Macaca mulatta: one gene and its partner. The protein of the gene in region 1 interacts with the protein of each later gene in a biochemical or structural test. Links are inferred from orthologs where the notes say so. Each region holds a gene or a part of one and is shown on either strand. Other genes may lie near its edges.

What was found.
Region 2: the proteins of FKBP4 (region 1) and GLMN form a complex in vitro, tested with the Homo sapiens proteins (2 studies listed by BioGRID). The link is inferred for Macaca mulatta from reciprocal best matches to the Homo sapiens genes FKBP4 and GLMN.

Annotation. Positions count from the first base shown.
Region 1 is NC_133416.1:3,699,074-3,702,563, reverse strand, and holds the end of FKBP4 (peptidyl-prolyl cis-trans isomerase FKBP4), read right to left. Parts: intron 3,439-3,490; coding exon 3,199-3,438; intron 1,403-3,198; coding exon 1,295-1,402; 3' UTR 627-1,294; downstream 1-626. UniProt on the Homo sapiens protein: Immunophilin protein with PPIase and co-chaperone activities. Component of steroid receptors heterocomplexes through interaction with heat-shock protein 90 (HSP90).
Region 2 is NC_133406.1:148,020,726-148,024,907, reverse strand, and holds the start of GLMN (glomulin), read right to left. Parts: upstream 2,894-4,182; 5' UTR 2,831-2,893; intron 1,947-2,830; 5' UTR 1,917-1,946; coding exon 1,878-1,916; intron 1,447-1,877; coding exon 1,321-1,446; intron 1-1,320.

The DNA.
Region 1 (3,490 bases):
GAGGCAGCTCAGCATGACTGGCTTGTGCTGCCTGGCTTCTCCCAGGGCCCCATCATGCCATAGGACTTAAGGGTCAAAGCATAGTTAGAAAAAAAGCACAAGCTGTTTCCTGTTAAGGCTGGGAAGGAAGCTGGGCATGACCCCTCTTTACTCTCGACCTTAATCATGTAAAAGTTATCTGACAGAGGTTAGTGACACCAGGAGTTTTACCTTGTTAAGAAACCAAAATGCACAGATACCTCTGCCAGATCAGAGGTAGGCAGAAGACCAATTCCAACTTCAAAATGCATATGCATGGTGTCCCAGTCTTCTAGATCTTGATACTTTCCTCTTCCTAAGCGTCAGGGAAGAAAACCAGAGGCACTAAAAACTGCCAGGTTGCTGGAGGGAGGGAGTGCATAGACTCAAGTCCCAGCTGCAGCCTGTGCAGTGCTCAGGAAGCCCTGCATCGTGGGGCTGCTTCCTGCCCAACTACGGTGTCTACTTGAGATGCTGCACTTATTTAAGCTCCACTGGGACTAAGTGGGTGACCCCTTAATTTTGCCACTACCCATTATGTACCCACCCATACCCACCCCTCCAAGGCTGAACAAAAAGGGTTGTCTGACACCCAGGTTTTATTGTTTCCACTTTATTGCTCAAGCACGGAACTTGAGGCAAGCCTGGACCTTCAGCAACGTGCGGAAAAGAGGCTGAGGGGATTTCGGGACACAACCTGGCTGAGAGGGGAAACTGACAGGGGAAATACCAGAACAGGGAGCAAGGGGTGGTCACCATCACACCAGAAGACATCAGCCACACCGTTGGGGGTGAGGAAGGGAACAGAGAAGAAATGGCATAGCAGTGGTTTTTCCCATGTCCCTAGCACCCACATGGAGGCCACGTTTGGAAATGGACTGGGAGAGGGAAAGGATGAGGAAAACGGCTGCCCAGGAGTCTCCCTCTCCACCCTGGGTTCATATCAGACCCCATCCCTACCACTTGCCTCTTCTACCCTTGGAAAATGGACCTAACAGAGGGAGCAAAATAAATTAACATTCTGATGAATATGTATGGATGGACATATGTTCATGTGCAAAGGGGGAAGGGAAGAGGGGGTGACACCAGCTAAAATGATTCCCCACCTCAATCCCCCAGCCTACTCCTTTCCCCCTTCCCCCTAAAGCCACCATCCAACCAGATAGAAAAATAAAGGTCTAATTCACTCAAAATTCTTCAGTTTTTACAAAACTAACAGGGTGGAGGGGGGAGACTGGGGGCAGGCAGCCGCAGGAGTAGGGCTGGTGGAGAGGGGCTATGCTTCTGTCTCCACCTGAGACTGGCTCCCTGCCGTGTTGCTCTTCTGCTCCTCCTTCATCTCTGTGTCAGTGGGGTGGTCTCCTGAGGAGGCCTCTGCCTTGGCCTGCAAGGAAGAGGAACAGCAAAGAGGCTGACATCGCAAGTGAAAAAACACACACTTAATTTCTAGCAGAATTACACAGATACACCCATTCTCCTACATCTGTCCTAAAAATATATCTGTATAGGCCAGGCCTGGTGGCTCACACCTGTAATCCCAGAACTTTGGGAGGCTGAGGTGGGCAGATTGCTTGAGCCCAGGAGTTTGAGACCAGCCTGGGCAACACAGTGAAACCTCAGCTCAACAAAAATTACAAAAATTAGTTGGGCGTGGTGGCATGCACCTGTAGTCCCAGCTACTCGAGAGGTTGAGACGAGGATTGCTTGAGCCCTGGAGGTGGTGGTTGCAGTGAGCTGAGACTGTGCCACTGCACTCCAGCCTGGCCGACAGGGCAAGAGACACTGTTTCAAACAAAACTAAACACTTATATATGTACAAATTATGAACTCACAAGGTTACTCACTGCAATGCTGTTCTAAGCAGTACTGTCCCGTATGGTAGCCACTACTGTAAGTGGCTAGTTCAAACTCATGTGTTTTTAGTGCAAAATATATATTGGATTTTGAAGATGGTTTGAAAAATACACAAATGCAACTAAAATTTAATTCCATTTGTTTTTCACCTTTTTAACATGGTTACCAGAAAATTTTGAATTACATGTGGTTGATACTGTATTTCTACTGGACAGTGCTGGTTTAGAACACTGTTTAAGACTGGCCAGGCATGGTGGCTCACACCTGTCATCCCACCACTTTGGGAGGCAGGGGCAGGCAGATCACTCAAGTCAGGAGTTCGAGACAGACTGGTCAACATGGTGAGACCTCGTCTCTACTAAAAATACAAAAATTAGCCGGGTGTGGTGGCGGGAACCTGTAATCTCAGCTACTCGGGAGGCTGAGGCAGGAGAATCGCTTGAACCCAGGAGGCAGAGTTTGCAGTGAGCCAAGATCGTGCCACTGCACTCCAGCCTGGGTGACAGAGTGAAACTGTCTCAGAAAAAAAACACCAACAACACTGGAAGACTAAAAGGGGACTGACTGACTAAGATAAGCCACATCCACACAATGGAATACTATGTAAGCCTAAAGAAGAATGTAAAAGTTCTTTAAATACTGATGTAAAATAAGCCTCCAGCTACTATCATGTGAAAAAAGCACAGTATGTGCCAAATGATAGAGCACGTTGCCTCTTGTTAGGGGAAAGGGAGAAAGCAACATGAATGTCTGCCTGTGCACTGATGCAATACACTGGAACCATACAAGAACCTGAAGGGTCAGCTGCTTCTGGTGGGGGAGGCAGACTTTTGACTGTATATACTCTGGTACAGTTTGAATTTAACTACGTAAATGTATCATTTATTTAATCACACATAAAAAGCATCTAGCTTTTTTTTTTTTTTTTTAGACAGGGTCTCATTTTGTCACTCAGGATGGAGTGCAGTGGTGCCATCATAAGTCACTGAGGTCTCTACCTACTGGGTTCAAGTGATCCTCCCACTTTGGCCCTGCAAAGTGCTGGGATTGCAGGTGTGAGCCACCGTGCCTGGCCCACAAGAAAACATAAATCGGGAATTACACTCAGAGCAACCAACCCAACTTCTGGGGCTTGTGGGTAGGATCCTAGCACTGATCACAGAACACGGCCCCAATAGCAGAGAACACATGCTCCTTAATGCTCCAGGGAAAAGGGCAACTTTTGGTTTCTGGGATCGGCACAGACAACCAAAGGCACCAAGAGCCCACAGTAGCCAGGTTCCGTGGAGGGATGCTATTCCCGCTGTTCCCCACCCCAATCCTCACCTTGTTCTCCTCCTCAGCCAGCCTCTCAAACATATTGGCATAGAGCTTCTTCTCCCGGGCAAGCTGCCTTCTGATCCGCTGCTGGCACACAGCCAGCTGGGTCTTGGCGGCTTTGTTGTTGGGGTAGAGCTGCAGGACCTTCTGGAAATCAGCCCGTGCCAGTTCAAAGTCATTCACGGCCAGGTGGGCCTCTCCCCGGCGGAAGAGGCCCTTCTCATTGTTGCTGTCCAATTCTAGGGCCTAAAGGATGCAGGGAGGAAGCAACATCGTGGGAGCTCAGGGCTTGTAGCTC
Region 2 (4,182 bases), on another chromosome or scaffold:
TTTGAACTAAGAGATGCTATAATAATGTATGATTAAAAAGTTTTAGGAATCCCCCAAATCCAATCAAGATGCCCTGGAGAGAAACACAGGTCAACACGACTACACTGTGATATCGAGAAAGAAACTTCTAATAAATAAGTAGCACTGCAAATGAAGAAAGACTGTGTACCTAGAAAGAAGATGGTCTTTGTATTAGTCTGTTCTCACGCTGCTTCTATGAAAAAATACCTAAGCCTGGGTAATTTAGAAAGAAAAGAGGTTTAATTGACATGCAGTTCCACATGGCTAGGGAGGCCTCAGGAAACTTACAACCATGGCGGAAGGCACCTCTTCACAGGGCAGCAGGAGAGGGGCTGAGTGCCAACAGGGGAAATGCCAGATGGTTATAAAACCATCAGACCTCGTGAGAACTCACTCACTATGATGAGAAGCATGTGGGAAACCACCCCCTTGATTCAATCACCTCCACCTGGTCCCACCCTTGACACACAGGGATTATTACAATTCAAGGTGAGATCTGGGTGGGGACACAGAACCAAACCATAGCAGTCTTCCTTATAAGGAGTATCCAAAGACACAAAATTTGGCAGGGTGTTGCCAAGACAGTGTCCCAGGAAAAAGTTATTCCTGATTCACAAATAAGATCCTTTTCTATTGTAGAGGACTTCTCAAACTATTGTAACTGGATGATACTGGCTAGCATAATGACATATAGCTTTCCTCCTGTTCTGATTCTAAGCACATAAAATACTGTTTTAATTAAAATTTGGTTTTCCATACACATTTGGCTGGAGAATGGGCTGATCACCCAAAATGAATATTTAGCCTGCTTGATATGTATATTTTTCAATGTAAATTAATAACCCAAACACTATTTTTGGACTCCCTAAACCAGAAGTAATTCTGTTTCTTCTAAAAACTCTTTACTTCAACTATAGCACTTATTTTATTTATTTTGCCTCATTATTGTTAGTTGTTTACATGTTTATCTGTTTGACCAGATTGTAAGTACCTTCAAGTATATGACTGTTTCTTTTCTTTTCTTTTTTTCTGAGACAGGGCCTTACTCTGTTGCCCGGGCTAGTCTCAAACTCCTGGGCTCAAGTGATCTGCCTGCCTCGGCCTCCCACAGTGCTGGGATTACAAGCGTGAGCCACTACGCCCCACCTGAATATTTCTAATTCTTTTTTTGTCTTCAGTTCCCTACTGTGAAAATTTAAGTAGATTCTTAAATGTTTGATGGATAAATGACTGGATGAATAGCATCATGTGATTATTCTCTTCCCAAGACTGAAAAGTAAACACCAAGATTGTACGTACCTTATTCTTTTCATTTTGAATAATTTCTAATAGCTGGTCTATGTGCCCTTCTTCTATGCATCTTTGCCCAGCTAACTGAAATAGGCCAAAATCCTCTTCTTTAAAGTCTTGCTCTTCTAGGATTTGCTGGCAAAAAAGCCCCCCAAAAACAAAAGAACAAATGTATATGTAAATAAAAATTAAATACAGTAACTTCTTGACTTATCTATGAAAAAAGGAAATCTGTTTAAATTCTAGGTAAATGTAACGTAAATAACACATGTATCAAAATTAGGATTACCCTAATAAATACTTTAATAAATGACCTTGAAATCTACTGTACCAGTGAAACCTATGAAAAGGATCAGGATTAAAATGTAAAAGGTTATTTAGATAAGTATGTCACCTGGAGAAATAATCCAATCTGCCTCCCCCACTCACGTTCTTTACAGGTCAAAAAAAGCAAGGATTAAAGAAGATAAACAATTTGAGTGACCACAAATATAATTAAAAACCATCTGTGCCCTTCCCATATTTTGAAAGGTATTTAATTTTACAAAAATTAAAAAAATACTTACACATCTCTTTATTATAGACTGAAGTTCCTCTACAGCCATTCCTATTTCTCCCAGTTTCGACGCTAAAATCTACAAATACAAAACACACTGTTAAATATCCGTGATATTACATTTAAGTATTCAAAAGTTATGTTTCAGTGTGATAAATTACTAGTAAATACAATAAAGAAAATGGAAAGTTTTTGTTGTTGTGTTTTTTGGTCCAATAGCATGCTAGGAGAAAATGTAAAGTTCTAAGGTTGAAATGTTATTACTGAATCTTAGTATGTTTGTCTAAGAAAATAAAGTGTTTTTTAAGAAGCCCTTATTGCATCTTTTAAGTTTTCTAGGAGCATAGTTTTGAAAGCTATTTTGAAGGAAAAAAAGAAAAAACTCCCGAGTACTCCCAAGAGGCGAGGCAAATACGAACTAAAGGGCTTTTTAAAAAGCAAAGTACTTCTTTTATGAAAAAAAAATTCCAAAAGGTGGACCTGAAATCAAAATTCTAATCATTAGGGGATTTTTTAATGTCTCACCTCACAAAAATTGGGGTGCAACACAAGTTTATCTATAGGGGGTGAAGATTCAGATGCCCTCCATCCCATTTCTCTCTAGGAGTTGCAGTACCCAAAGTGATCAATCCAGCTAGTGAAATCACTGTATCACACGGAGGCAAGGCAACGGCGGCCTTCAGGAGGAGACCATCGCTTCTCCCGGAGGCAAGGCTCAGCCCCAAACCCTCAGTAGTGACGCGGGTCAGCCCGGTTCTCAGCGCAGCGCGCTATAAGCCGAATAACACCCCAGCGCGCGTGCTGGCGGCATCAGAGGAAGCCATGTCTTCCGATTCCTGCTCGCCTAGGTGTGCAGGCTCCACCACCTCGCGTGGCCTAGTCGGCCCGCGGCACCAAGTCCGCCGCGGCTCACGGCCAACCGCGAGCCCTGGCCACCCCGAACCTCTCCACTACTCCACTTACCAGCCAGATCTCTCGCCTCTCCCAGCCGCCGCCACCTCCTCCGGCCACTTAGCCCGCTCTTCTGGCCCCGCCCCACGCCAGCGGGGTCCGCCTCGCGCTACGCGTAGGAAGGCGGGGCTTCGGGGCGAGACGCCGGAGCTAGTCCGGGTTCCGCAGACTACTCTCCCCGATGGCGGACTGTACTGGGCCGGGTTCTGCCGGCCGCAAGGCCGGGGCTCCTCGCCGCTCTCGAAAAGCCACAGGTAGGAGCAAGGATGTCTTCTCACTTTGGGACCCTGAAAGCTGGACCCCGATCTCGAGTTCTAAACCGAAGCGCACGGGCGATCCTGAAAGGCTGCTTCAGGGGAGGGGTTCTCCCAGGTAGAGAAGGCCGAAAGCTTCCCACCGCCGTCCGCTCCCCCTGGGAAAGATCTCCTGGCCGGCCCTCACCCCTTTACGCCAGTGTTGCAAGATTTCCCTCACGCGGGCCATGGCCCCAGCCTCTGAGAGAAAGTACAGTGGAGGCGCCGGGAACCCAGGCCTAGGGTCCCCGGGGTTCGGGGCAAGTGACTAGGGCAGCGTTGGCAGCTGGTCTTGAACCTAGGACCGGTCCTCCTTTCCAGATTGCTTGGGTGCCTGGTTCTTTGAGGTGCCGGACTCCCCTCTTCTCCCAAAGAGGACGTTTGGCAGACGGAGAGAGAGGTTTCCCTAAAAAGTACCCAGATCTCAGATTTTCAGGAATGATTAATTAAGCAACTATGATACAGAAGAAAATTCAATCCCCAAAGAGATACATTTTAACCAAGAAAAATTAGACAGTAATCAATTTGCAAAAACAAATTGCTTGCCCTTTACCTATTTCATTTTGATTTACACACGATTGGACATAAAATAGGTGGAAAAGAAGAAAAATTCGTCTAGTTTGTTATTTGTGTAGGAATCTATCTTGTACCTAATGTGTTTGTGTAGGCCTGACCTACTGCCACCATGTGTAGCTTAACTGCGGGGATGCATTTTGAGAAATGCGTTGTTAAGCGATTTCATCCTTATGTGACCATCATAGAGTGCACTTACACAAACTTAGATGGTATAGCCTACTTACACACTAGGCTATATGGTACAGCCTATTGTTCCCAGGCTGCAAACCTGCACAGCATGTTACTGTACTAAGTACTGTAGGCAATTGTATATCTAAACATAGAAAAGGTACGGTAAAAATACAGTATTTTAGTCTTATGAGACCGCTGTCTGTATGCTGTCCGTCGTTTACGAAATGTCATTATGTGGCACATGACTGTATTTTTGTTGTAGGTACTAAACAGACAACTACTTTGAAACAAGAAGATGCTTCTAAAAGGTATGACAGCTACATG